Oryzias latipes: one gene and its partners. The protein of the gene in region 3 purifies or fractionates together with the protein of the main gene of each other region. This does not show direct contact. Links are inferred from orthologs where the notes say so. Each region holds a gene or a part of one and is shown on either strand. Other genes may lie near its edges. The genes, in order: mepce, sart3, lsm4, prmt5, wdr77 and patl1.

The links.
Region 1: the proteins of lsm4 (region 3) and mepce purify together in Homo sapiens (affinity purification with mass spectrometry; 3 studies listed by BioGRID and IntAct, with this or other methods). This does not show direct contact. The link is inferred for Oryzias latipes from reciprocal best matches to the Homo sapiens genes LSM4 and MEPCE.
Region 2: the proteins of lsm4 (region 3) and sart3 purify together in Homo sapiens (affinity purification with mass spectrometry; 4 studies listed by BioGRID and IntAct, counting the BioPlex papers as one, with this or other methods). This does not show direct contact. The link is inferred for Oryzias latipes from reciprocal best matches to the Homo sapiens genes LSM4 and SART3.
Region 4: the proteins of lsm4 (region 3) and prmt5 purify together in Homo sapiens (co-immunoprecipitation; 3 studies listed by BioGRID and IntAct, with this or other methods). This does not show direct contact. The link is inferred for Oryzias latipes from reciprocal best matches to the Homo sapiens genes LSM4 and PRMT5.
Region 5: the proteins of lsm4 (region 3) and wdr77 purify together in Homo sapiens (affinity purification with mass spectrometry; 3 studies listed by BioGRID and IntAct, with this or other methods). This does not show direct contact. The link is inferred for Oryzias latipes from reciprocal best matches to the Homo sapiens genes LSM4 and WDR77.
Region 6: the proteins of lsm4 (region 3) and patl1 purify together in Homo sapiens (co-immunoprecipitation; 4 studies listed by BioGRID and IntAct, with this or other methods). This does not show direct contact. The link is inferred for Oryzias latipes from reciprocal best matches to the Homo sapiens genes LSM4 and PATL1.

Annotation. Positions count from the first base shown.
Region 1 is NC_019872.2:14,592,141-14,597,434, forward strand, and holds the start of mepce (7SK snRNA methylphosphate capping enzyme), read right to left. Parts: upstream 3,457-5,294; 5' UTR 2,982-3,456; intron 1,231-2,981; 5' UTR 1,184-1,230; coding exon 1-1,183. UniProt on the Homo sapiens protein: S-adenosyl-L-methionine-dependent methyltransferase that adds a methylphosphate cap at the 5'-end of 7SK snRNA (7SK RNA), leading to stabilize it.
Region 2 is NC_019867.2:12,882,670-12,886,137, reverse strand, and holds part of sart3 (squamous cell carcinoma antigen recognized by T-cells 3), read left to right. Parts: intron 1-132; coding exon 133-271; intron 272-1,137; coding exon 1,138-1,245; intron 1,246-1,313; coding exon 1,314-1,391; intron 1,392-1,485; coding exon 1,486-1,544; intron 1,545-1,797; coding exon 1,798-1,907; intron 1,908-1,985; coding exon 1,986-2,098; intron 2,099-2,280; coding exon 2,281-2,357; intron 2,358-2,446; coding exon 2,447-2,609; intron 2,610-2,689; coding exon 2,690-3,135; intron 3,136-3,386; coding exon 3,387-3,468. UniProt on the Homo sapiens protein: U6 snRNP-binding protein that functions as a recycling factor of the splicing machinery. Promotes the initial reassembly of U4 and U6 snRNPs following their ejection from the spliceosome during its maturation.
Region 3 is NC_019862.2:13,833,374-13,838,778, forward strand, and holds lsm4 (U6 snRNA-associated Sm-like protein LSm4), read right to left. Parts: upstream 3,928-5,405; 5' UTR 3,808-3,927; coding exon 3,805-3,807; intron 3,379-3,804; coding exon 3,337-3,378; intron 3,097-3,336; coding exon 2,998-3,096; intron 1,306-2,997; coding exon 1,125-1,305; intron 937-1,124; coding exon 827-936; 3' UTR 210-826; downstream 1-209. UniProt on the Homo sapiens protein: Plays a role in pre-mRNA splicing as component of the U4/U6-U5 tri-snRNP complex that is involved in spliceosome assembly, and as component of the precatalytic spliceosome (spliceosome B complex).
Region 4 is NC_019875.2:17,818,986-17,824,138, reverse strand, and holds the start of prmt5 (protein arginine N-methyltransferase 5), read left to right. Parts: upstream 1-2,016; 5' UTR 2,017-2,025; coding exon 2,026-2,123; intron 2,124-2,425; coding exon 2,426-2,544; intron 2,545-5,153. Other genes in the region: proteasome subunit beta type-5-like, read right to left, coding at 1-169; proteasome subunit beta type-11, read right to left, coding at 361-1,371. UniProt on the Homo sapiens protein: Arginine methyltransferase that can both catalyze the formation of omega-N monomethylarginine (MMA) and symmetrical dimethylarginine (sDMA), with a preference for the formation of MMA.
Region 5 is NC_019863.2:2,525,996-2,531,159, reverse strand, and holds the start of wdr77 (methylosome protein 50), read left to right. Parts: upstream 1-1,996; 5' UTR 1,997-2,304; coding exon 2,305-2,413; intron 2,414-2,591; coding exon 2,592-2,777; intron 2,778-3,658; coding exon 3,659-3,797; intron 3,798-4,861; coding exon 4,862-4,911; intron 4,912-5,056; coding exon 5,057-5,127; intron 5,128-5,164. UniProt on the Homo sapiens protein: Non-catalytic component of the methylosome complex, composed of PRMT5, WDR77 and CLNS1A, which modifies specific arginines to dimethylarginines in several spliceosomal Sm proteins and histones.
Region 6 is NC_019859.2:1,012,460-1,016,548, reverse strand, and holds part of patl1 (protein PAT1 homolog 1), read left to right. Parts: intron 1-402; coding exon 403-508; intron 509-959; coding exon 960-1,142; intron 1,143-1,211; coding exon 1,212-1,382; intron 1,383-1,497; coding exon 1,498-1,568; intron 1,569-1,645; coding exon 1,646-1,726; intron 1,727-1,799; coding exon 1,800-2,000; intron 2,001-2,076; coding exon 2,077-2,178; intron 2,179-2,253; coding exon 2,254-2,331; intron 2,332-2,565; coding exon 2,566-2,765; intron 2,766-2,841; coding exon 2,842-2,986; intron 2,987-3,213; coding exon 3,214-3,334; intron 3,335-3,403; coding exon 3,404-3,501; intron 3,502-3,571; coding exon 3,572-3,631; intron 3,632-3,699; coding exon 3,700-3,845; intron 3,846-3,910; coding exon 3,911-4,070; intron 4,071-4,089. UniProt on the Homo sapiens protein: RNA-binding protein involved in deadenylation-dependent decapping of mRNAs, leading to the degradation of mRNAs. Acts as a scaffold protein that connects deadenylation and decapping machinery.

The DNA of each region.
Region 1 (5,294 bases), on a different chromosome or scaffold from region 3:
TGCGATAACCATAATATTTATTGTAGTTTCCATACTGGAACTTCTTTTGGTGTCCTTTTGCCTGACTGTGAGGTTGCTGGTACGAACGTGACCCCCCTCCAGTTTTGGGACCAATTTTTGGTGTGTGAAAATAATTTTGTGCTCCGCCTGTACCACAACTTTTGTCATTTGGTGCTAATTTACCGCTGGGAGTAGAATGGGTGACAGGAGGATCAATTTTGCCTGAGTTGCGCCTTCGTCTGCGTCTTCCGGCGTGGTGGCTTGGCCCCCCCGACAGGGGGCAGGTATATTCTTCGACAGGTACAAACAGCGTCTCATCTTTGCCGCTTGCTGCGTTCTCAGCTGTGCTCTCGTGGGAATCTGCCGTGACACTAGAGAAACTCATGGACTCTTTAGAAGAATCGAGAACCGAACAAGAGCCTTGCGTACCTAAAAGTTGTGTGGAGGAGCTCATTTTGACCTCACTTTTTGTCGATTCGGAGTGGTTCGCCTGCGTTATTGGAATCCCACTACCAACTCCGCCTCCTCCACCACCCCCACCATGATGTCTGTTGCGATGCCTTCTTCTTCCTCCGCTCTTGTAGGGGGACACCAAAAAGCAGTTGTCTGCTATCCCGCTGTTCAGGTTCAGAGGATCAGTTATATCTCTCGGAATGAGGATCTCCACTGGATCTCGACTCTTTGCAGGAAGTGGAGAGGATTTTGGTGTCTCTGCGTTAAGTGCCCTGTTGACCTCCTCATCCAGGAGGCTGTTCAGATTAAGCGGGTCAAAAATGTTGCCACCCAAGAGAAAGTTGGTGGGCAGGACAGAGTCACTCTCGGAGATGGCTCTTCGTCTCCTCTTGCTCGATGTGGGATGTTTGAAGTTAGAACTGGCTGTGTAGCGCCGCTTGGTTAATTTCGTTTGCTGTTGCTGTTGTTTGGAGTGAGGGAAGCTGTTCCTGCGATTGATGCTGTTCTCGCTCCCTCTGGCTTTTTGTCCCGCGCTGTCTGTGCTCGTGTGCTTTGGTGAGGCTGCAGTGCCCGGGACAGGACAGGCAGCTGCAAAGTCATGCGTGGCTGCATTTTCCTCCATCATCACGGACACACTGCTGTAACCTCCAGTACAGTCTGAGAGCTGCAGAGATGGCGTTGACCTGGCCTCTAAACTGCCAGTTTTTATGGCGTCCTCCTCGACAGACATCTCTGTTAGTTTCCAGAACTGTTCATTGAAACTTGTTTGTCCTTTGTCTGAAAACAAGGAAGAATACAGCTGTTAAAGGACCATCTGATCTCTTATAATCCCTTGAATAAAACACCGTAAACATTAAATTAAGTTCCAAAAAAGTGCCAAAACAACCGATAGGTAGATTTTTGTTTAATTGCATTACAAAGAATGCAAAAAAAAAAGACAATGATAATTGATGTTTTTGCCAACAAAAACTTTAAATACCTAATCTGATGAAAGTTTTTGTGGCGTTTTTCTAACAATGGAGGACAAGTATAAAGACAATATAGCTAAAAATTTTGTTTCTGAGTGTTCCTTTATTCCAGTTGTTCCAAATCAGGGGCAGATGAAAAATGCCATTGGAAAAAGCTTGAAGCTGTGATGTGAAACCTACAACGACAAGCAACAAATTTATTCATCCTAGATAATGATATAGGTTGTTTTTTTTTGGACTAAAAACGACAAAATTTTAATTAAAAGACCACTGAGAACACTTTTTAAAATAGACTTTAAATAAGTAAAATCATAATTTGGGATGTCATCTGCAACATGCTTTGGTCAAAAATGCTAGTACAGACAAAACATCTTTCTTTTTTAACCACACTGTTCCTGCTTGGTTCATGGTAGCATATAGAGGGAGGTTCCACCCGTCTCTGCTGCTCTACCTTATCAGAGATACATAAGGTTTATAGCATTTGTGCCACCTGATTAGAAGGCACAAATATTCCTCATGCACTTCCTAACAAAACTACATTCAAACTTAAACTAACAGAGAAGGGACAGAAGGTCATCATATTCTCCAAAACCAAAAATACACCTTTAAGATGTGACGTTGCTATTGTTGTTGCTATTGTTTTTGTGCCTGTGTAGAAGAAACATGTTTGTTCTTCCACTATTCCTACTGTTTAGAGCCTAAAAGAAAGGTTAATGCTTTTGTTGTTGTTTTCAATTGAAGAGTTAACTTTTAAAAAAAAAAAAAAAAAAGATGACAATCCTATATTTGTATATCTACAACTTCCTGGATAAACATTTCTGCAACTTCATAATTCATTATCAGCTTTACATTAAAAAAATAGATTTGGATGTTACCAAAACTAAAGTTTGAAGTTCTCAGAAAGTGGTTTTATAAAACTGTAGGATATTGTCATGATGATGTCATTTGCAAAAAAATCCAAACAAAATATTTGGATTTTCAGTGTTTTCGGTTTTAGCCTTATTTTAAAATCATGCAAACTGCATTATCTATGATTGATAAAAAAAAAAAGAATTGATTTGAGATTCATCGACATTGTTTTAAGGAAACTTCAATCTGTTCTTTATGGTTGCATGCATTAAAAGTCATCTGGGGAGTCAGTGTGCAGATTCTGGCCTCCATAATTAAGTCAGGAAAGTAATAAGATGGACAAAACGAACAGCAAATAAAATCATAAAGGAGAATCCGGGCATATTGAATATATAAAACATATAATTTTCTTAATAGTAAATAAATTACTTTGTTTTTAGCTGAGTGTTGCATTTTATTATATTAATTTTAAAGGTCCTACGGTCCGCGGCAGATTTTTCGTTAGCATTGCCCTCCTGACAGGCTGACATCTGAAGCGTGTCCACTCGGAGGTTGCTGACCTGAGAAGTTTCTGAGTCAGAGTCTGGAACAGTAGTTTGGGTTAGCATGCTAGCCCTTAGCTCCTCCATCGTGGGCCAGAGCTCTGAAAACGTCGCCTAAACGTTTAGCTCTGGAGCAACAGTGGTGATAAATAAACGACCAAGTACCCACCTTCATGCGCTGACGGGTGAATCCAGAACAAAAATAAACAAACAAATCCCAAGTCCGGTACGGGAAAGTGATACTATGTCCCAGATGGCCGCCGAACAGTGTGGTCACCGTCAGGATCCCAGTGTCACCCCGCGGTGGTGCTCTCCCCGCCTCCGGCCGGGCCGTCTCCACCCCGCTCTGCTTCCACTCAAGCTAACGTTAGCCTAGCTAGCACCCCAGTGTCTCCGAGCCCAACGGCGCTCACGGTTTACACGCAAAGCACGGCCTGTACCCCACTAGGTCTCTCTTGTTTCCCCCACTGCCTTGTCGACTTGTTCGGTCAACTCCAGGCGGACAGTTTGGTGAATAAATGACAGCATTCGCTGACGAGAGTCGGCATGGCGGCGCATCCGGGCTTCGAGTTGTAAGCTTAACGTGACCGGGGCGGAGATCTGTGAGCTCGCGCAAGGTAGTGGGAACTCTTTGCCATTAGATTCAGACCCCTAATCCCAGAAGAGGCCGCGAGCGAGTGGAACTTTTAATGACAGTCAGCAAACACATTTTAATGAACAAACTTGGCCATTGTTTTGGTCTAAAAACGGGACTATAAAGGCACAGATGCCCAACAACACAAAGTAGGTCCACATTGAGCAATTCTGCGGCCCTGACCACCCTCCCACCACCTCATCCTTCATCCATCATTTTAACAGTAATCTCTCATCTTCAGTATATTAGTAGCACTTTTTAAAGCATAAAATAAATCTTATTGTCAAGAGAAAAAAATTATAGCAATACCATTAATTATCTTCTGTCTGTCTGTCTGTCCGTCCTTTAAGTGAAATAATGTGATAAAGTGCTTAAAAGTTTGGAAAAAGCAAAATTTCTAATAGTAATAGATTTAATTTCAGATCTGTAATTGAACGAGAGTATAAAATAATACTGACTGTCAAACACCTCAACAGTGTGTGTTTAGATTTGTTTAATCTTTTGCAGCAGCAGTCAAATGAATAACCTTTGCTTAATTCTAAGTCATGGAACAGATCCACAAGTGGCCTCCTCAGTAACCTGCTCACAACTTTACTTTGGATTTTCTTGAAAGGAAGATTCTTAGCAGAATTTCAGATTGATGTAACCTTTTACATTAATGCATGATCGCTGCTTATAAGAAATTGGCCAAACAGTTGTGAGATGCTGTCTGATACAAAGCTGTGAAAGTACAATAGTTTCCTGTAATATTTGTAACTATCTAACTTGGGAAAATAAAGTGAATTTAGGAGTTATGAACTTTCTCATCATTTTATATTACATTTGTTTTCTTTTTGTAAAGGGCTATTTCTTGATTTATAACAGCTTTCTTTTACGGCAGCAAATTTCAACACTTTCAAGCAAATTCATTACAGTTAGCAGCCTGAAATGCTTAGTTTGAAGCCAAAAGACATTTTAACACATTTTTAAAAAGTGTCTCAAATTTGACATTTAGCTGATGTAACAGCTATTTCTAAATTAAATGACCACAATTAATTTTTCATTTTACCACGCATGAAGTGATATTCATGCTAACACAAGCACAACTTTCTAAGTAGCAAATGAAAACATTAAATATTTGCTTTGAATAACTTGTTTTTTTTTCTTCCAAACCCTTTTTTTTGCATTTGCTACACAAAGCTCTCCCTGTATTTTGATTGAAAATCATCACTCTCAACTGTTTATAGATCAAGCCATGTGATTTTCTGTCTTACAGCCTTTATTACGTTGAGGGTAAAATCAAAATAGTTATTTTTTTAAAAACAAATTGGCAAAATATATGGAAGGTACAGTAACAGGTAAATGAAAGAAAAAAAATCAATGACTACAATAAACTATTCTTTCTTGCAGTAGCATGTTTTTTTGTACTCTACATGTTATGTATTTTTATTGTTGTAGGTCAAATGAAAGTGTACAACTACAGTTGTACACATAAGCTTTAGGGTTGTTTTCTTCTACATACTTCATATTTCCAACACAATTATGAAGTATTTCTGGTATTTAAGTCTATTTGGGTGTTAGTGTGAGATATGACTGCCATCATGGACACCTTGATGTTGCTTCAGTGACCTTTTACATCTGTTTTCTGAATGGCCACAAGGGGGCGATCAAATCTTTTTTTTTTACCATTTTTCTAAACAGTTTTATCCTGCGTTTAACACTGGATGTTCTTTCAGAATTTAATTTTTACGCGTTTTTTAAGGCTATATTAGTTTTCCCTTTCATCGTTGTAAGTAAACAGACTCGATTTTGATTTGTAAAATAAAATATCACTTAACTTTGGATGTATATGTTGAGTTACTGTAATTG
Region 2 (3,468 bases), on a different chromosome or scaffold from region 3:
TTGTTTTAGTTCAGCTGCCTGTTTCTGTTTATTTAGCATTTTAGTAAATTGGCCAATTAAGAAAGAAAAATGAAAACATAATTAAAAAAAAAGTGTTGCTTAGATTTTTGTCTTTTATTTTTGATCTTTTAGGATCGCCAGCTGAAGGTTAAAGACTTGGTTCTGTCCACTCATGAGCGGGCTGTTAGGAACTGCCCCTGGACCATGAGTCTGTGGAAGAGCTACCTGCTGGCTTTAGAGAGGCATGGAGCAGACCATCACACTGTGTCAGGTACCAGTTTGATTACCTGTGACATTTACCACATGTGTGATGACTAACTTTTAATTCCTTATTAAAATGGTTTTAAACAGTGGAGGAGAAAAAAGTTGTTAAAGAAAATGTTTTTTTCCTTGAAATTTTCATTTAGGGAGAAAAATCGAATGAATTAATTCGAATTTTTTGTTACGGGTGATTTAAAAAATAACTAAATTGAGTTTTTTTGCAACGGTGCATTTTTGGCTCCCCGGAGCTTCTGTAGCGTTAATTCACACGGCAGTATGACAAGCGACAAACAACAACATCATAGCACCACGAAACAGCAAGCGGCAACATGGCTACCGGTGAGAGTGGGAAGTTTGTTCCCAAGAAAGGAATAAAATCATCTGTTGTTTGGAACTGGTATGGGTTTGCTGCCACAGACGTGGAGGAAGAGACCCCCCCCCATGCTGCAACACTTGCCTAAAGCCCATCGCAGTCAAAGGCAGCAGCACCACAATCCTATTCCAACACCTGGAACAGAGACATCCAGCGGAATATGAAAAAGGCCAGTCTCTCTGAGGCGAACAAAACCGCGGTGACCAAAAAAACAGCTAACTGTAGCCGAAAATCGGAAATCAAATCAAATCTGAGATTTTATTTTTAGGCCTTATAGCCCAGCCCTAGTCAAAATAAAAGAATATTTGGTTACTTGCTAAAGTTAACAAATAGTAATTTTTTTTCTATTATTTCTATATACATATTAGAAAAAAAGCTGTAAATGTTTAATTCTTTACAAAGATGCTGAGTTATTAAAGTTGAGGAAGCACGTGTGTGTTAATGGGGACAGTTAGTTTATTTGTGTGTTTGAGTTTCATTTTCTTCTTTTGTCTTTTGTTCAGATGTTTTTGAGAAAGCACTGAATGCAGGCTTCATTCAAGCAACAGACTATGTGGAAATCTGGCAGGTGTACCTGGACTACCTGAGGAGGCGCGTGGATTTCAGTAAAGGTGAGAGCTGCTGTGTTCGTCACATTTGGTAAAATAAGAAATTGGAATCATTTAAACTCTTTCTTTAGAATCAAGCAAAGAATTGGAGGAGTTACGAGAGGCCTTCTCTAGATGCTTAGACTACATGAAACAAGATGTTGAAGAAAGTAAGTAAATCTATTGTTTATTTACTTTATTTTGTCAGTTGAAGTTCTCATTTAGCTTTTTTCATCACTAACTTATATTTCGGTGTAAATTCAGGATTTGGGGAAAGTGGAGACCCTTCCTGTGTCGTCATGCAGATTTGGGCAAGGATAGAGGTAACTGGTGCTACTGCTTAAACCAGATTCAAGTGTGAAATCTTAAATTATATTATATTGGTGGTAAAAATAAAATAGGACTCAAGTCTTAACCAAGAGAATTCTATAAAACAATTTAAGATAAATTAAGTGAAAGCTGAGAATTTGGTTGTTGAAAAATGAAGCAGGAAGTTTTGATTGGAATATTTGAACAGTATCTTTCAAATTTTGGGATTTTAATTTGGCATTAAATTCTTTTTCTGTTCCTCACCAGGCCCTCCACTGCAAGAACATGCAAAAAGCCCGAGAGCTGTGGGATAACATCATGACTAAGGGGAACTCCAAATATGCCAACATGTGGTTGGAATACTACAATCTTGAAAGGTTTGTTTGGTAATCCCCCAAATCCAGAGAGAAAAACACTTTGCAGCAGTGACAAGAAGCTTTCTCTGAAAACCATAGATCTTATGGGGACTCTGTTCACTGCCGGAAAGCTCTCCACAGAGCAGTTCAGTGCACCACCGACTATCCGGAACACGTCTGTGACGTCCTGCTCACCTTTGAAAGGGTAGAAGGTGAGTCTCATGGTAACACAATTTTACACCTCCAATCTCATGTCAGCATTATATAATCAACTCTGTTGCTTTATTAAGTTAAATACAGTTAGTGGTATATGAGATGAACTATCTAACAGATAAACTAAAGATCTCATAGCTGTTAGAGATTGAGTTATTAATTATATAAAGGTTCCATCCAGGTTCATTGGAGGACTGGGACACAGCGGTGCAGAAAACTGAGTCCAGGATGAACCGGATTAATGAGCAACGAGCCAAGGTAGGAAGGTGTTGATGTGTGTTGGACAGGATGGTAGCATCGCATGGAGCTAATGTTAGCATATCCGGATCATAACCTCCAAAAATCAGGCTGCTGAGAAAGAAGCCAACCAGGCTCGCCAAGAGGAGGAACGAGTTGAGCAGCGTCGGAAGGTCAAGGCAGAAAAGAAGGGTCTGAAAAAGGATCAGAGGGGAGCTGGTGAGAAGAGAAAAGCAGAACAAGAGGATCAGGATGAATGGAACAAAGACTCGGGTAAAGGTTATTTTAAGGAAAAATAACTTAATGTTTTGACAATGTTGTCACAAAGTTTCTCTTTTCCATGATGTTGTAAGGGCCTAAAAGGCGCAGAGGGAATGTAGACGGCACTACAGACGAGTACATGGAGACGGAGACCGGGCTCTTTGGAAGGAACGCTCCCAGAACTAAACCTTCAGCCGGCCTGAAGAAAGTCCCGCCTGGACACGGGGACGCTGCGGAGAAGCAGATCGACGACAAGTCTGAGCTCCGAGACGACTGCTGCAGCGTGTTCATCAGTAACCTGGCATTCACGCTGCAGGAGCCAGAGGCAACGCTCAAAGCGCTGTTTGAGAGCTGCGGTTCCATCGCCCAGGTTCGCCCCATCTTCGGCCACAGAGGAGTCTTCAGAGGATACTGCTACGTACAGTTTGAATCTCCAGCATCCGTTACTGAAGCTTTGAAGCTGGACAGACGGGAGGTGGAGGGGAGGCCCATGTTTGTTTCACCGTGTGTAGATAAAAACAAAAATCCAGACTTTAAGGTTTGTAAAAACACACATCAGATGTTTTTTCAAGCTATTAGTTTCCTTGTAGTAAATGAAACTATTTTAGATGCTTATACTTTTTCAGCTTGTTCTAATATTGTTTAATATTAAGTGTTTTTAAGATTTGTTGATAAAACGTTAATAATTTCTTTTTAAACGTGGTATATATATATTTTTTTCAGCTTTTTTTATTTGTAAAATTGTGTGCCAATAGGTGAACACTTGTTTTTTTCGTCTATTTTTTGTAGATCTTCAAATACAACACGTCATTGGAGAAACACAAAATCTTCATCTCTGGGCTGCCGCTCTCGTGCACAAAAGAGCAGCTGG
Region 3 (5,405 bases):
TCATGAGCCTGAACTTGTGTTGATGCTTTAAATAGGATACAGGACATGCTAAACAGGAACAGAGGTCTTTACACTCTGCAATCAAATAGTAATTTTACTATAACAATTTCAGTGCTTCATTTCTTCAAACTGATCTTTAAACAAAAAGTTTCAGGTGTAACAAACTTTTGGGGCAGTTCCCTAAAAATGAAGACTATTTTATACATACATGGTCTTTAACAAAAACTGCTTTATTGTTTCTCATGTCATTACAATAATATTCATCACTATAAAAATAAAGAGTTTTTCAAACAAAAATTCTTATGGTCAAATCGTGTCACTTATCTGTGACTGGATGTCAGCTGACTATCAGCTTAGATTGGCTAATGAGGAGTGAAAGACAGAAACAAACCCACACCAACCATGTCACTCAACAACTAGAATAGAAATGAAGAGAATTCTGGGGCTGGAATATTGTCTATCATGAAATCTACCCCTAAAGAAAAAGACATCCAAATATAAACAATTTGACACTTCCAATTGTACCAACAGATTACTTTTGTGACTAAAAAGGGGTTTTCATGACAAAATATTCTTCTTGAAAGAAAAGAAAAAAAGAAAAAGTATCAGCTCTTGGGTTTTACACAAACATGGTTATTCTTAAAAACCTAAAAAGAAAACTCAGTGCAAAACCACTGCCTCTTTTGAACATCTCAGTGACCTTTTGCAGCGATTGGTTCTCTTACATATCACATATCAGCAAAAAAAGGAGCTGAGAGTTAAATTATCCACAAGTACTGAAACAAAAATAACAGTTAATGTGATGTGAAAGATCCATGACATCACATCAGTGCTGGTTCTTCATTCCCTGCTGTTTGCTTGGTTTTTTATCCGGCTGCTGTGGCTGCTGGCCTCGACCAGGACCTGACATCCCTCTGCCGCGGCTGCCAAACACACCTACATACAGACACAAAAAATGTCAAATTCAGCAAGTTAGAATAATAAATTCCTAAACAAATAAAGATGATGTTTCACCAGATGTGTTTAAAAGCTTTAACAGAGGGATTTTTTACTTATTTTAAGCTGATCTAAGTCTCATTAAGGCAAATCATGACAGAACAAATGCAGAAGTTGCTTCCTCTCACCTCGGCCGGCTCCGCCTCTTCCTTTACCCTGCTGCTTATTCTGCTGGGCACCTCCACGTCCACGACCCTTAGAAACCACCTCATCCTTCACCATGTCAATAATCTCATCTGGAATTCGCAGATACTTGATGGTACTTCCCCTGATGTAGCACTCTGGCATCCTCCAAAACTTATCACCATCCTGTGGGAAAAAGACCAAACGATGAGTGTAACCAGTATACTTCAAAGGGTCTATGCTAAATCCCTTTTTTGAACTTCCCGGTGTATTATAAAGAAACCTCAAACCAGTATTGACCCATTCACGCATTTCTGAGAATTCCTCTAAAAACCTGTGCTCCAGGAACCAGCCACACCTAACCCACAAAAACAAGCGGGTTCTCACGAGCTGATGTAGATAAGTGAGAACAGCCCCTTCCAGGAAGAGTCTGCGCTGCCAGCCCCGCCCCCAGGCTAAAACACACACTCCATGAAGCTAGTGGTGTTTGGCAAAACTCTCTTTACATGCTCAATATGCACATTCATCTTTACGAAAGTTTGAATGTTGTTTGTTTCGTGGGCGAGACACAGACATGTTGTTGATGCTGGCTATAGGTTGACATCATGGAAGTGCCGGTGCCTCAGATCCAGTCGTCTTGCTTCCAGGTTGGAAAATAACTCAGGAAAATAACTAATATTCATTCATCATTTTTTAATTCATCTTCTAAACCCGCTTTGTCCCTTTTGGGGTCACTGGGCTGCCGGGGCCTATCCCAGCTACTCATGGGTGAAGGCAGGGGGCTTCCTGGACAGGACACCAGTCTGTCACAGGTCCACAAATCACTCACCCATGCACACTTGCATTCACACTTATGGACAATTTAAGGTAACCAATTAACCTACGAAGGTGGGAGTCCCCGGAGAAAACCCACGTATGCACGGGGAGAACATGCAAACTCCACACAGACAGGTTCTTTTTCAGGTCCCCCAGCCAAGTCTTGGACCTGGCTGGGCTTGCAGTTGGCTGGGGGACCAACAGCAACCAAGTCCCCAAAACTTGGCTGGGGGATCTTGCGCTAACCACTGCGCCACGTAACTAATATTTAATTTAAAAAATCTTTCTTTTGTGGGCCAAAGGTAATATATATATGGATATTCTTTACCATGAATGGTTTAGGAATAGCATGGTACAGGGCCTTTAACAATAATCAGTCCTTTTTCTTCTAACAAAAAAAATTAGCGTTGAGGTTTTTGTTCCAACATGTATCAAAGGATGTTTTACTAAAACCATTGCTTCATTATACATTAGTCTTTATATTTTAAAGGCTCACTTCAATTATCTTTTGATCTATTCCCAGTATTTTGATTTTGTTTTTTTTCATTATGCAGCTTTAAGCCAAAATGAAAAACTTGTCTTGTTTTCTAGGACAGTTTCTGCAGAGTGACAGAAGTTCATTAGAAATATACCTAAAAAAGCCTGCCGCATTTTCCAAGGTCCCTTTGTTTCCACTCTCCTGCTAGCTTACACACCCTCATACCCCCAATCTAACACCAAGTGCAAGAAAATTGGTGGGGAATGTTGAAGCTATACAGACGTACAGTTTAAAGCCAGATGCCAGCTCAGACGAGGAAAACCAAGACGTAAATGGATCTAATTGCCTACAAACTTTCTTTATATATGTCCGTCATTATGAGAAAAATGCCACAAAACATGTTAAAAACCAAACCAAACAAATACACTATTTTAATTGGGGTGGGTCTTTAAACGGCTAAGGTAGTCAGAATGAAAACTGAAGGAAACAGGTAAGCGACTGTTAAATTTAAGCTAATTTTTTTTATTTAAGGTGTGCAGTTTATGGATCGTTCTCCACTGAGAACATGAGAGCAAATCTGTTACCCTGGATGTGCAGATGACTTCTCTCAAGTTGATGTTCATCCAGTTGTCACAGCTAACCAGATGACCGTTGTAGGTTTCTCCATTCTTCAGTTCAACCAGCTGAAAAAAATCAAAGTTCATTGAAAAAAAGGTCAGCTGGTGATTATGGTTTTCTAAAAGGTTCTTTCTTTATTCAAAAAGAAATGCACAAAAATTATTGTTTAAAGAAAAACATGCAAACAATCTCAATAACAAAACAAAAAACCTGATCTTAAAACCACAAGTAACTGAATAAAATGGTTTAACCAGTAATCACCAGATAAGGAATAGAAGGAGGAAAGAAAAGCAATTATTTCTTACCATAGGATGGTTCTGGGCCGTCTTCAAAAGGGACAAGGGAAGCTGCGAAATAGTAGAAATGGGTCCGATTTATGATCTCTATGATATATTAAAATAATGCATTCTAAAAGGAATATTGATTCAGAAATGAAGAACACGTCTGAATGTATTTCTGTGTCGGCGGAGAAACTTAAGCTCTGTTCCGAACTATAATGATTCGTTTGTGTTTAGTTTAGTACTAAACGTGTATCTGAAATGGTGACCCCCCCCCCTTATATATTTATATAGAAAATAATTTTAAAAAGAACCACTTGTATAGTCAGCGTTCCACAAGCAGAAAACAATTTAGCATTGGTTGCTAGCGTAGCTTAGCCTTGATTTGCGATGTTTAAACCAGTTACATGGGATTTTTGAAGCCAAAGAACAGGTCAGTATTTTTATATAGTGTGTGATTTTTACAAAATAGTCCATTTGTAAGTAATAACTTACCATTCTGGTAGGTTATGTTTGTGCTGCCTTAGATTAGCAACACGATTTTTACTCGCAGACTCTTCTTCGTTTTCTACGTACTCGGTGCCACGTCTTATTAAAACATGACTGCCCCCTAGCGCAAAACATGCGCAAACACAGGAGCATTTTCTTTTGTTCTTTTACTGTGACGAAATTCAAAAATAAATACAGAGGACCAAGTGTAACATCTATCTATCAAACACAGGAGCATTTTCTTTTGTTCTTTTACTGTGACGAAATTCAAAAATAAATACAGAGGACCAAGTGTAACATCTATCTATCTATCTATCTATCTATCTATCTATCTATCTATCTATCTATCTATCTATCTATCTATCTATCTATCTATCTATCTATCTATCTATCTATCTATCTATCTATCTATCTATCTATCTATCTATCTATCTATCTATCTATCTATCTATCTATCTATCTATCTATCTATCTATCTATCTATCTATCTATCTATCTATCTATCTATCTATCTATCTATCTATCTATCTATCTATCCATCCATCTATCTATCCATCCATCCATCCATCCATCCATCCATCCATCCATCCATCCATCCATCCATCCATCCATCCATCCATCTATCTATCTATCTATCTATCTATCTATCTATCTATCTATCTATCTATCTATCTATCTATCTATCTATCTATCTATCTATCTATCTATCTATCTATCTATCTATCTATCTATCTATCTATCTATCTATCTATCTATCTATCTATCTATACACAAACATTTCCTTCAAAGCATAAAACCGCTTAATAATATCTTATAGCAAAATCCTGTGTCTCAAATTTCAGATTGTACCATTGCTGATTAGTTCGCATTAGGTATGAGTGTCTAGACTAAACATAATACAGTAATTTTTTCTTCATTTTCAGTGAAATGCATTTTTATTCCTTAAATTAGTACAGAATAAAATTAAAAAAAATAATGATGATAAAATGAGGATAATAGAGAAGAAAGAGAAGAATAATATTGAATAGATCACTGCCACAACTCCTTGTATTATAAAAAAGGAAAAGCTGGAATTTTGTTGCGTGTACATGTGACACAGTGACAATAAAATAAGTCTATTCTATTCTATTCTGTTCTATTCTATTTTATGATTAAGGTCTGTCTGGTTTTGGTAAAGTCTAAATAAATGTGACAGTGGTTTAAAAAATAATAATTTTTTTCATTACCAAATGGATTCATGTAATTGAATTACGTGAATCCTTATATAATTTGACCAACACGTTCATATTTTTGCTGGTGCAATTTTTGCAACAACTAATTTATAGCTTGGTACTTAATTAAAGTCTTATTTTATGATAAAACACAGGCAAGACAATTGGTTGTATTAAAATAGGATATTTGTGTAGTTTTTATTTATTTATTTTTTCTTTTTGTTTTTTCCCTAAGTTGACATTTCTCAGCCACCGTAGCCGTCATTCCGTTGATGGCGTCATTACGTTGGGTTTGACGCAGCGTGCAGGATGAGAGAGAACGGCAGGTTTCTTTTGATTGTGGGAGAAGGAGTCGTCAGCTGTGAGGGTCTCCGGCTGTTTAAGAGGATCTGTTTC
Region 4 (5,153 bases), on a different chromosome or scaffold from region 3:
CATCGTCTCCGGCCAGCATCGGATTTTTAACGGAAAAACTGACACTGTCCCCCGGTGCAGCATCGCAGTCCGCTCCGCTCTGTCCCGGTCCACAGTTAAAACCAAACGGCTGACGAAAATCCAATGAAAAATCCGCACATTCACTGCTCAATACACTAGCTAGAGCCATCTTGGAGACAATCAGATGAACAAGCAGCTTCCGCTGTGTGGAACATTTTAATAAACATGGGAGCTGTTCCTACACAGCGCCCCCTGTGGCCGTGGAGGATAACTTGCAGTTAAAACAAACGACTAAACAGCATCCCAATCAAACTTTATGATGTCAAAATTGACAAATTTATACAAAGAAAAAATGTGGTTTCATTGCATTATTTTGGCAGCTTTTTTAGTTTTTACATCCATTTTCTTGCCTCTCTTTTCCATGTCTCTGTAATATTCTTCCTTCAGGTCTTCCCTTTGTCTCTGTCTCCACCCCTCGGCTGTGACATGGAAAAGGTCCACATTGTTTCCCGAGTAAGCATCCCTGTGAGTGGCCCTGAATACCGCTTCTCTTGCCAACAAGATTGCTTCTTCTTTATTCAAACTCCAACTCAGACTCCTATCCAAGACTCCGTAGGCATAAGGTGAACCTGATCCCACAGAGAAGATGTCTCCCTGCAGTCTGGCTCCATCGCTGCACACGTAAATAAGCTTTGGGCCACTAAAGCACAGCAGATTTGTTTTTGAAGGAACGTCTTTACAAACAGATGGCGAGCAATCGTCAGTCACACCTAAGGTTTCTTCCAAGTTCTTGGTACTTTCCGCCTTATCCCAGCCACACAGGGTGAGAGCCACACATACATCAGTGCCTTTAAAAGGGTGCAGCATTAATGAAAGGAGTTTGGCAGTCCCACGTATTGAGAGGCGACGCTTGTGCCGCAGTTGATAGAGTCTGATTTCTCTAGTGAGGATGCGCTCCCACAGCATGCAGTCTGCACCGCTGCCCGAGGAGGTGACCACCAAATGGGAGTGAATAGGGGTTATCTTGTGAACAGCTGGACAAGCCACAAGTCCCCCAGCACTGGCACGTGTGTCTGCAGCTGCAATCACCCCACCTTGGAAGATAAAACCCAGAGTTGTCGTTCCATGCGAAAGAGGAAAAGGCCTGCGCACCGACACTGAATGGCTCGCTCGGCTGGAAGGCCTCTTGAACAAAGATGGTACATGAAACTCCAGTGGAACATCAGAGGCTTTTTTAGATGTCATCTCCCCTCTCCATTTAAAGTTTAAAGATTCAGTAAAAACAGAGACACTTGTATCTTCCGAAGCATAAAAAGGAAAAGTCTTATGCGTGGGCTTGTCTTTAAAATTGCAAATATCTTCCAAAGCCATAAATATTGAGTAAGATGCTCAATTCTGACCTTAAAATTATTAGTCTTCCTTTCAATTATAAAGTAAGATCGATTATTTCTCTACACAGATTGAAAAGCTTGCATGGAATTTAAAAAAATATGCTAAATCGACCTAAACACAGCCGGGGCAGGGCAGGGATCACAACCTTGTGCCTGTTGATCTTCTCAGCATTGGGTGCATTTACCCCTTTTATACCTCCTGCAGCTGTGACAGCTTGCATAAAGCTGCCACCTGCCCAGACAGAGTTGGAGTCACTGAAAGTGATCCTGTAACCTGTAGCTGTTAATTTGATCTGCTGCGAAGCCGTTTTCTGCTAATCATACATCTTTTAAATGTGCTCTGATGATGCTTGTAAATATTTCACCCCATTAGCTTTTAATCTTCTTTTATTTTTATTTTATTTTTTTAAATATCTACCATCAATTTATTACTGTTAACATGTTTTTTTCATTTAATTTCTTCCATAACGAGTCTCGCGATATTTTGTTTAATGCAACTAACGTCCTGGCGGCGCCATTTTGGTTCTTTCATGCGTAACTATGCATTCAGAACGATGATCTTCGTGGATCCAAGATGGCACCAGTTTCCTTAAGCCTCAGAAAGAAGAGTCTTCTCAATCAGTCGACAGAAGTCATGGCGTCCGCCAGTACAGGCAGCAGGGTGTCCTGCGGGAGAGATATGAACTGTGTTCCGGAGATAGCTGCCACGTTAGCCGCGGTCGCGAAACTTGGGTGAAGTTGGCATTTTTGTGTCTTATAAAAAAAGTGTTTGGATCAAATGAGGAAAACTAGCGTGCTTGCTTGTTAGCATGACTAAGGCTAAGCTAGCCGGCAAGGTATCAACACGTGCAGAATGAAAGGATGCTCTGCTTTTGGATTCAAGTGTTAAACTAAAGTGTTCCTTTGGTTTTGTTATTGGCATATCTCGTTTTTTTTAATTTAACACGTATATAAGACGCGTTTGTTTCTCCTTTGTATAGTATCGTAACCGCATTGTTCATACTAGTGTTTTCCCTTATGATCTGTGTGTGCAGGTTCGATTTCCTTTGCATGCCTTTATTCCATCCGAGATTCGCAAGGGAGTTTGAGTTGGAGCCAGCTAAATCTCGGCCCGGTGCACAGACCCGCTCCGATCTGCTGCTGTGTGGAAGAGGTAAGTGTTTTTAATAAGTCATCTACATCTCAGGGTGTTACTTATGAACAACGTGTGTTCAGAACAAGGCCCGTTTCCATTGTCACGTGTGTGGGCTGGGTGGGTATATGAACAATCTCTGAGATCATTTTAAATATTAAAGAGTTTAAAATAAAAACTAAAAAAAGTCAGGAATGTAGTTTTGTGGTTTGCAGCAGTTATGGTCTCCAACCCTGGTCCTAAAGACCTTCATGATCCCCACTTTGCAGCTGATTACCTGGACCAGGTGATGTTAGAATGTCCCCTCTCCAGCTAATCAGTAGCTAGGATATGTCTGGGAAAGCTAACAGGGTGGTCGTGGTAAACCTTAATGACCAGAGATCATGGAGACCTTTGTAATTCCAGGTTAACAGAAATGTTAGGTGTAAAAGCAAAGCTGCACATTAAATTATTAATGTGCAGCTTTGTAAATTTACAAGGAAAGATGGAGATAAAAAAACAAACAAGTCACTATACTCGCTTGTAATTAAGACAGGGTTAAAATATGTTAAGCAATGTGTAATTTGGCCATGTGTATTATGTGTGGCCAACATGAATTTCCATCAGTTTTTGTGCTCGATCACACCTAAATACGTGCGAATGACATCGGCCTATACAAAAAAAGTGTTGCAGTCTGTTTTGAAGCCACAAGTTAATTAAACGCAGGAGCCATTTGGCTTCAAGCTAGAGGTGAAACATGCCCAAAAGAGAGAAATAAAGATTGGGACAACTGTCACTCAAAGGTGGAGGAATCTTTTTCTTTAAAATAACAAGAATGTGTGTCACATCTATCATCTTAGAAATTGTAAAAGTTTAAAAACTTTAAAGTCCCACTCTGATCATCTTTTTTTAGCTATTGTAAAAGCGTTCCCAGTGGTCTTTTAATTATGACAATGCCGTTTTTAGCCAGAATAATTATCGCTTTCTAGGATGTAGTTTCTGCATTGCAGCAGTAGTTCATTAGAAATTTGTCTCTGAATTGCGGGTAGTACCGTTGGAGTGGAGTGAGGCCGCCCCCACTTCCCGTCACCCTTCTGTTAACACTCTCTCTTGCTAGCTTACATTAAAGCTGCAGTAAAAATGGCGAGCATTATTGGAGCTGTCCAGCCGTACAGTTTTGAACCAGACGCCAGGTCAGACAAGGGAAACAAAGACGTACGTGGATCTGTTTGTCTGCAAGTGGAATCATCAGAATGGAGCAGAGCAGGGAGCTTGTGGCACGCCCATTGTAGCTTCCATGTTACTGCTCCAAGCTTTTTCTAACTGCTTTTTTTGTGGGATCCTGATTCACAACAATTTGAATAAAGAAATACTCAAAAAAATGCAATTTTAAGTTTAATATTTAAAATATATGTCCTCCATCGTGAGAACATGCTACAAGAACAAGTTAAAAACACGATTTTCATCAGAGTTGTGTTTTAATGTAAGAGTTAAGTTTTCACCAAGAAAAGGATGCGGGCTGACATCACCTCAATTTTTGGGACAACACGTCAATGTAAAGGCCTGTTCACACCGGGACGAATTTCGCCCGCGATTTTCGCCGACGTTTAACGCCTCGTGACTAAACAAAGGGCACCAATGTGAGTGTGCACACCGACGCGAAAAACCGCCACACGTCAAAGCGTCACTTTTTAAAAAACGCCTCGGGTTCGTTTTTTTGGTTTGACGCGCCGCGTCGAAAACTACACGACCAATGAGAATGGCGCTTTTGCACACGTGTCTGGAGCTTCTGAAGTTACAGTAAAACACAACTTGGGGGCGCTCAAACATTAAACTGCCTTTCTGAGCACACATGCCAGCGAAGAAGATAGACGCCAAGTAGCGTCTACACTGCCACAACGAAATAATGACGGACATTTTAAAATATCCCCGAACCAAGCACCAGTTGGAGCAACTGGTGCTTGAAATATTCATGTTTTCTTTGTATTATTCTGACAAGTGCGTAAATACTTGCTCTCTTCTTCTGAGTGAAAAGCGACTTTAAGAAGCGTAAAGTTGCGCAGCGCCACCTTGTGTACAGGAGTATTTCTGTTTACATTAAGCGCCATCTAATGTCAGGGAATGAAATTGCAGGTTCACTCGGCTCATCGTCAGCGAAAATCGCCTGGGTGTGAACACAAAAAACGTGGCGAATAACGCTGGCGAATAACGCCTGGCGAATATTCGTCCCGGTGTGTACGGGCCTTAAGGTTGGGGTCATCTGGACGCCATAGGATATGTGGTGATGCTGGTCCCCGCCTGTGATGCTGCATTTGGCTGGTTATGCAGCTATTCACAGAAAAGGAACGTCCCAAATATTAGCCTCTCCTACTGCTGACATCGCCTATCCCCATCAGGAAGGTGTGAAAGGGGAGGGGGCTCTATTTTAATATTCATGCTTGTTTTTATGTTTTATTTTAATGTAAAGCACTTTGTGTTTTTGTTTTTATAGGAAAAGTGCCATTTAAAAATAAAGCTTGATCGCGATTTGCCTTTCAAAGCAAGGCGGCAACAGTCAAGCATTAAAAAAAAATAAAACACTCAAACGGAAGTGATCTATGTAAATTTTACTGTCTGTTCAACAGAAAATCTGAATACTGATTGATATTTCT
Region 5 (5,164 bases), on a different chromosome or scaffold from region 3:
AACGAGCGCGAGCGCGGCCGCCGGCGCTGTCAGTCAGTGTGCGCGTGCAGGTGGAGCTAACGTTAGCTACAGTCAATGGTTGGCCTCAAAATTTCTCCCAGTTACAAAAAGACATCACCAATAACGACTGACGATGCCGTTCAGTGACGACAACCGGGGGGAAAACCGTCACTTCATCCGCCTGACACGGCCGAGAGCTTACCGTTTACGGCCACGGTGACAGACCCGCGAGACCCTAAACCGAGAAAAGCCAATCACATATCGATTTCAGACAGAAGAGCACTAGTGTGAAATTATCCCTAATCATCACTTCCGCTCTGCTCTTTCACAATAAAGTCTGGAGGATGAAACCTCGGCTTCTGCGGCTTCGCATCTTTATTACATGGAAATCACACTCAAAAGCTGTTCCATCAAACATCAAATTCAACATTTCTGGTTTGTTTTTAGCTTCAGCAGAACACCATTGCTCATGCAAACTGTGCATCTTTGGGGGATCATCGATTTTCTAAAATAATAAAACACGTTTAGGGGATAACAATAGTCATAGTTGTTTGTTTTCTTTATAAAAACTATAAGATAAAATTTCAATAGAAATTTTAAAATAGAAATAACGTTAGGAATCCCACTAGGTTATGCCTAAATCTTACCAGCACTATTTACAAACGTACAAAAAACTTGTTTTTTATTAAATAGGCTATAATAAATGAAGGTAAATCTGCAAGACATAAAAACTGAACAGAATGAATAAATAAGAATAGTTTAAAATATATACTTACAATTTTTTATGTTGACCATCACATAAAGAAAAAAACAAATATTTGTGCAAAACAGCAGAAATTGATCCTTGTGAGCCACAAGTGATTCTCGTGCTCCTTCTCATATGTAAAAACTTAAAATTTATCAAACAATAATCACAGAGATGCTACGCTCTAGCACATATGTGTATGCGGGCTCACTGTGTCCTAATGAACACAATTAAAAAACTTTGTGTTTTCTTGGTGTACATAGCACAAAGCTACAGCTTACAGCCCTCAATACAATTGACCTGTCATGCTTTACAAATGTATAACTTCTATACCATATAATCCAGATCGTTTTTAAATTTTCTGCATCCTTATGTAATTTCTTTGGGGATTTTTGGGAATGTATAAATGAAAGCTTTGTACATTTGTTTACTGACAATTCCTAAAATTATCCATTTCAGACCCCAGCTGGGTCCTTTTATTTATGCGTTTTACACGAACACGCTTCATGGAATTGTTTTATGACTTAATAGTCCTTTAGGTGTCTGTGTGCATGCCTGTGGGACCCTGCAACAGACTGGTGACCTGTTCAGGGTGTACCTCACCTTTTCCCAACAGTAGCAGGATAGGCTCCAGCAACCTCACGACTGCAAAATGGATTCAGCCGGTTCTGAAGATGGATGGATGGATGGCTGGACTTTGTGTTGAATTTTCCACCATGTCATTGCTGTCCCAACCTCTTTGTTCTGAATGGATGGGCAGTAAATGAATTTCATACTTATTTCTCAGTTAGAAAGACACCTCAATTTTTGCTTCCAGATCATGTTAACATCCCAAAGTACAGGAAACTCAGTCACTGTAAGCTGTTCGAGTCACAGGGGTGGCACAATTAATCGACTTAATCGATTTGCTTTCCTACGATTCAACCAGATTGATCTGTCTGAGGCTAGTTGTTAATCAAATTGACTTATTCAACTACATCTGCTGGAACAAGTACTCAGATAAAACCAAGCAACACATTTTTTTTAAACGTGGATAATTTATTTTAAACAAAACATTTTAAAACCTGGTTAGATCCCGTCACATTTCACACTCACAATAAATCATCATTGCCCACCACCAACCCGCGCCTGTGCCAGACCAAACACACCCACTAATACAGAAAGCTCTCATATTGATTGAAATGAAGCCTTGTAGTTCACCTTCTCTGCCCGCAGGGGGCAGTGCAGACGGGAAACGCACAAGAGGAAAAGAACAATAAACACCAACGAAGAAGTCCTCCAAACGCCTAAGGGACCTTTTCCCCACCGGTCCCACGTGTTTAATGCATTATTATTTCGTTGTCATTCATTCGGGACGCGAAAACGTATCCATTGTTTTCGCTAGAAATGTTATTTTAAGCTCGTATGCGTTTTAGGTGTATATTTCTATTTTGCCTAAACAGAAAATACGAGCTTTTCTTTGGCCGCAGCTAGCTTAGCTAGCGTTAACGGTTGTGTAGCTGATTTGCGGACAACCACATCTGAATTAGTGGGAAACTAGACTAAAGTTTGCTTTTTGGATGAACAGTGCAGTCGACACAAATATGATCAAGGAAAATCGGTGGAATATTCCCCCAAACGCTCCGGCGTGCATGGAGAAGCATCTGTGCGCGGCTCAGTACCGAGCAGGTAGGAAGAGAGAAGGCGCTAACCGTGGGTCACAGGCATAAACCACGTGCTTTTCATTTATGGGACTGGGGGTTTGTTGGTGTCCTGATATATTCAGCTCAGTTCTTTAGTTCGGCTGTAAACTGGTGTGTAACCTTTAGAAACGCTGCTTCCCACGTTCGTGCTGTGTCCTCTGCAGACGGCACGCTGCTCCTGGGCGCCTCCAGCCTCTCGGGCAGGACCTGGCAGGGGTCTGTGTGGATCTACAGGGAGCCTGAGCAGGCCCCCAGTGAGGGCTTCTGCAGGGCTGGCGTGCAGACGGAGGCAGGGATCACTGATGTCAAATGGGTCACTGAGAAGGCCATTGTTGCTGCTTCAGATTCAGGTGCGTCTCAAATGATCCTGACAACTAAAAACTCAATGTTCAATACTTTACAAACATTCTGCTATAACTTAAACTGGCTTTTCCTTCAAATGTAAGAACATATTCATTTGCTGTTTTACATTATTTTAAGTATTTATCCTTTTTCCACATTTTTATCTGTCTTTTTTAACTCATTTTTACTTTATTCTCATCTAATAAGTTTTATTTATCTTCGTATTAATCCCTGATTTTACCTTATATATTTTATTTCTTTAACATTTTGTTGCAAAATTCATGTTTTCCTCAGAGGGATGTTTTAAGTGAAACGTTTTTATTTTTAAATTGAACGCACTTTGTTTTACTGATGTATGACAGGTGCTTTATAAATAAAGTTTAATTTGATTTGAACTGTGGAACAAACATCCCATGGAGCCAGTCGGGCCGCAGGATTATGGCCAAGGGACGGATTTTCTAAGTTCTCAGATTTTTCCAGTAATAATTGCATATTTTATATCGGATTATAGAACTTTATTAACTTAGCCAGAATTCTCCCCAATAATATTATTATTTATTAACATTTAGATGTCATAGTATTTCTTCTCCTTTCTTTCTTTTGGCTTCATTTGTATTTTCCATTTGTTTTTTTTCCTCCAACATTTTTAGTGAATCAGAATAACAGTTCAGTGATTGCATCTACGCCTGTTTGTCCCTTAGCAGCCTCCGTCCTGCATCTTTGTTTAATGGAATCAGGTCTGTCACTGAATTAAATATTAGGCTGTCATCCGTGTGTAAGAAAAATGTACTTCTAAGTGTGTTGGGACAGATTGACATCAGTAGACAGGGATGCAGTGTTCTGTTGGTTGGCAGGATTGTGTTTGGACAGAACTGCTTCTTGTCCTCAGGTGCTCTAGAGCTCTGGGATTTGGCAGAAGATGAGCGGCTGCTGGTTAGTCGCTTCACCAAACACGAGCACGACCACATCGTGACGACCGTGAGCCCCACTGGAGCAACCGGCGCCGTCACCGGCAGCATGGACTGCAGGTCAGACTGCCGTGTCTGTTAGACCGCTGAAACGTTAGTATCCACTCAGAACTCTGAGGGTTTGATGTGATGTCAGTTCACCCCTTACTGCTACAACTACTTCCACTATGGGTTCATATCAGGATCAGCTTAGTGAATGAAAAACCAGATTGTAAATAAATAAAAAAAGATCATTTGAAAAGTTTTAAGCTCAAAAGAACATTAGGATGTGTTCAGACTGGACACTTTTGGTCCGTTTCAAGTGAACCAGAGTTTGTTTCTCTCAATAATCCGGACCAAATTTTCAGTCTGAATCCCCCCAAGTGGACCCTCATCGTCGTACCTTCGTACCATCTTCTTGCCAGTAAGCGTCTTGCAGGATGCCTCCGCCGTACCAAAGGAGCAGTAAAAAGAATTGTTCCTGATGTTAATACAGGCGCCAAAAACGAATGAGCGAAATATAAAGTTTTATTAAGTGAACCATCCCGACAAGGATTGCAAACTGGAGGACTTCCGTAGTTTCTGTCTCTAGTTGCTTTGCCCCGCCCTCGTAATTCCTGGCCTGTGGGTGAAGAGGCGCTTGACGGGAGCCTGAATACAGACCAGATGCAAGGTTCAGGCCTCGATCCATACCAAATGATTTTTCCAGTCTGAATACACACCAACACAATATTGAAACATTACAAATTGTAAAATAGAAGCTTGAATTAAAACAAATCTAGGCTAGTGCTTCTTCACCAGTCTGGTGTTCTTGTCCGTATGAACTTTGCTTTCTGAAGTGCAGTCGTGTTGAAACAGCAGAGATTCATCCTCTAACTCATCAGACTTGTGGGTAAATCGTGGGCCATCAAAAAAAACATTAGATAAAAATATGTTTTAAAAAATCTGTCTGCAAATAATCCTCCTCAGCATTTGACTGACATGCAGAACGGCCAACCGAACATCCTCTGATACATACATCCGCCATCATCCGGGTGTCATGACATCACAATCATTTCACTGACAGCCGACTGGAAGATTTAGGAGCGTGGAAATGTTGTGACTCGGATATTTTTCCTAAAATAAATGAATTCTCTTCAATGCAGGATTAAAGTGTGGGATCTCAGTCAGGAAGCAGCTGTGACCACCTACAACAGTAAGAGAGCCTTCAGTGGCAAAGCACTCCTGTTTATGCTTTTGACCAGGAGTGTAAATGATGATTTTTAAGTCGAGTTGTGTGTTAGAAGTGTATCAACGGTGGTGTTTGCAGAAGGACAAACACTTTCTCTCTCTCCGTCCAGTTCACACTCGGCCCGTCAGCTGTGTGACCTGCAGCCCAACAGATCCGTCCCTCTTCGTCTCCTGTGGCCAAGTATGAAATGATGTCTTCTGTCAGCATGTGGTCATTC
Region 6 (4,089 bases), on a different chromosome or scaffold from region 3:
GTACGTTTTTTATTTTTTCTGTACCAAATGACCCACGGACCGGTACAGGTCTGCGGCGCGGGGGTGGGGGCCACTGCTTTAGCCGACGTTGAAACCACAGAACTTTAGAACGTACAGAAACGTTCAGGTGTTCCTGCACATGTTCCCCTTCCTCCACATGGAGACCATTTATCTCGTTCCTGTGGATCCATGCGATGGCGCCGTACGTGGTGGCGGCGTCTGCCTTCTTTCAGCTGCTGAGCTCCGCACCTGGGCTCTCGTCTGCGCAGCTGCAGATGCCGTCTGCGACAGCTGAGAGTCGTCGGCATAGAGGTGGAGCTCAGGGATGTTGGTCAGGCGGAGAACCGGAGCATCTGCATCATTCCTCCGTGGAGTTTGACGTCTCGTTTCTTCCTCCTGCAGTCCCTGGATGACGACTGTACGCTGGAGGAGGAAGACGATGGACTGGTAGAGGAGGAAGATGAAATTGATCAGTTCAACGATGACACCTTTGGAGCTGGAGCCATCGGTGAGTCGGACTTCAGGATCTTTGTGTTTTCTTTAAGGTTAGCCTCAGAGATCAATATGATTGATCAGTTACTGATCATGTTTCAAAAGTCCAGGTTGTCAAATGGAAACTAGCTTAAGCCTTTTTTCCTGATAAACCGTTATTGATCCCCGATCAGGACATGGGTTCAGGACTCAGATCCTCAGACGGTCTGAGCGCCGGCTTTACCTCGGTTTCAGCCTCAGCATTCGGAGCGTCCTCCCCCTTTCAGGGGGGAGCTTCTGAATGGGCTCCTCTCTGCTCCCCCCTCTATCACGAGGAGCAGCTGAGGAGGCGTCAGACCTCAGCTGGGAGCCGCAGATTCAGAGGAGTTCAGAGAGGAGGGGGTTTCAGACTGAAGACGGCGCCTGACGTGTCGCCCCGCCCACCTCTGGTTCTTCATCATGTTGTTCTCCTGCTCCTCCTCTTCCAGATGACGACTGGCAGGAGGAGCACAAGCGGCTGGCTGAGCTCGACGAGCGTGACGAACATGGAGCGGCGCAGCCGGAGGAGGCGGAGCCAGGAGGCGCAGAGCCCCCGCCCTCCTCTGCAGACCCTCCCTCCCTCCCGTCCTCCCTGGGCTTCTCCTCGTCTTCTGCTGACCTTCCTCCTCGAGGTCGTGTGGTTGCCCCTCCCTCGCCCCGCAGGCCTTCTGCGTTCTGACGTTCCTCGTTTTCCTCTGCAGATGCGGACGAGCGAGCAGGTGGGGGGGAGCTGGCCGAGTCCGTGGCCCGCCTCATCTTGGAGGCGGATCCCGCCATCGCCGGGGTCGGAGCGGCAGAGAAGCCCCGCCCCTCTCCCAGCCTGCACGGCCTGCAGCAGCCGCGCCCCCCCCAGAAGCCGCCCGGAGTCACAGGTGAGCAGCGTCTGCGCAGATCCTCCCCAGGTGGTTCCCCTGGTTCCACGCCTCCCAAGGTTTTCTTCTTCGCGGAAAAACCTGCTGTGACGTTCAGTTTATGTTTCTGCCACAGCGCCGCCCGCCGCGTCCATGCTCAGCTACCAGCAGCAGCTGTTGCTCCGAGGCCCCGCCCCCACGCCGCAGGTGAGGCGTGTTTTCCTGCGCTCCCTCTCAGCTCGCCGTGTTTTGATCAGCTGTAACGTGTCTTCCTGTGACCTCAGATGAACTCTCACAGCATCTGGGACAGCAGCCTGGGGTTCGGACCGGTCGGCGTCCCGCCCGCCTTGGCCGCACACATGGAGGTGAGGAAAGCCGACGCCCTTTTCTTTTAAATGCGCCTGCAGCGCCTCAAATGGCTGATCTGTGCCCCCCCAGGACAGCCCACTCATGTCCATCATCAAGGAGGTGGGGCTTCCCAAACGACCTCTGCAGGGCAGGACCGAGGAGGGGTGGGACCTCTCCGAGAGGGTCCCGCCCCCACGCTCCTCCTCCCCTGTTATTGGCTCACCTCCTGTGAGGGCGGTGCCAATAGGGACTCCGCCCAAGCAGCCCATGAGCCACGCCCTGAATCATCAGGTGAGCGAAGCGTCAAACATTTCTGAAACCCTGCCCCCCCAAGAAGGGGTCCTGGTGAGCCTCTCTGTGTCCGTAGATCCACCACCCCACGGCGGTTCACGTGCGCGCTCCGCTCCAGCACAGATACCCCCCTCCCTTCCCCGAGCGCTTGTCCCCCAACACCCTCCTCAACATAGCAGTGAGTGCCCCCCGCCCGTCTGTCTGTCTGCGCAGTCACGCTCCCCTCCTTAACCGTCACGTCTTGTGTCTGCAGAACTCCCCGCTGTGCCGCGGCCCGTTCCCCCCCAGAGTCCTGTCCCAGATCCAGAGAGCCCAGCTGCTGAACTCTCAGGTACCGACCGTGCACACGCACATGCACACTCGACACCCCCACGAACAAGTGAGGAGGGGATGGAGTCTCCGGGAGGGTGAGGGTTCAAATCCAGGGTTGGGTCAATTCAATTCAAACACCTCCCTGACAGCCTCAAACCTTCATCACCCCCCCTGACCAGCAGGGGGGGGGCACAAACACAATCCTCCTGTGATGAGGGGGGGGGTTACATTTTAACGTCCTGTTTATTTTCAGGTTGCAGGTTTTCATCGTGGTGGTCCCGGCCCTCCCTTGTTGCCGGGCGGCGGTTTCAGACCGTTTTTTGGGGGCCCTCCTCCTCCACACGGCCACAGAATGGGCCCGCCCCCGCCCATACCCCCCATCCGGCACAACACCACCCACCTGCACCCGCAGCACCGCCGCCTGCTCACTCAGCGGCTGCAGAGCCGCGGGGGGTGAGTCTGCCAGCCCCGCCCCCGCCTGTGACTGCGGGCGTTTGACGGCTCACCTGTGTGTTTGGGGCCCCCATAGGGACCGAGGCAGGACCGCGGGGGACCGGCGCCCCAGAGATCCCTACAGCAACCTGATGAGCCAGAAGGAGAAGGAGTGGGTCACCAAGATCCAGATGATGCAGCTGCAAAGCACCGACCCCTACCTGGACGACTACTACTACCAGGTGAGGCAGCACCGCCCCACTACCACCACCACGGCCCCCGCTGGGGCACCTGGGGGCCTCCCCCGCTTCAGACATGGGAACTTCCTGGAAAACCTGAACCTCTCCCTGCGTGATTACCAAAGTCACCTTCCTGTCTGGCGGGAATCCGATCGTTTTCAGTGTCTGGAGTGATCAGGTGTTCTTAGCCCCGCCCCCTGAAGGTTGACTGGCGGATGTTGGTTCTGCAGAATTACTACGAGAAAATGGAGAAGCGTCAGGAGAAGGAGCAGGACAGCAGCAGCAGGAAGGAGCACGCCACCAAGCTCATCACGCCGCAGGTCGCCAAGGTGGAGCACACCTACAGGCCAGGTGAGCACCCCCAGCCCTTCCCCCCTCCTCAGGCAGCACGCATCCCCCCTGACCCCCCTCTGTCCACAGTTCAGTTTGCAGGCTCTCTGGGGAAGCTGACGGTCTCCAGCGTCAACAACCCCCGAAAGATGATCGACGCCGTGGTGACGAGCCGCTCGGACGATGAGGTTCCCGCTTCATCGATGCCTCCTTCACGGTGGGGGGGTCGGTTTGTGACGCTCTGTCTTTCCCCCGCAGGAGAAGAGGGAGAAGCAGGTGTGGAACAAACGGCGGCAGATCCTGTACACGGTGGAGAAGGTAGTACACGTACGCGTGCACGTCTGCAGGTGAGGCTCTGCTCTGACCCCGCCCCCCCTCGTCTGCAGATGTTCAGCCTGCTGCTGGAGGTCCAGGACTTCGAGAAGCGCTTCGTGCAGACCCCCGAGGAGGAGCGTTCGGCCCTGTTGGAGCAGCACAAGACCAACACGGAGCAGCTGAGCGCCGCCCTGCGGGACAAGGACTGGGAGCACAGGTGTGTGGGGGAGGGGGCGTGGCTGCAGGGTGGGGGCGTGGCTGACACGTTACCCTCTCTTTCAGAGTGAGCGACGACCTGTGCGTGATGATCATGTCGGTGAGGAAAGGCAAGCGCCTCATGGGTAGGCTCCTCCCCTTCCTGCCTGCACCCCAGGCCGCTGCCGTCGTCATGGCGATCGCCCGCAACCTCCCCGTCTTGGCCAAGAAGGACAAGCAGGATCAGGTAACCCCCCCTTCAGATG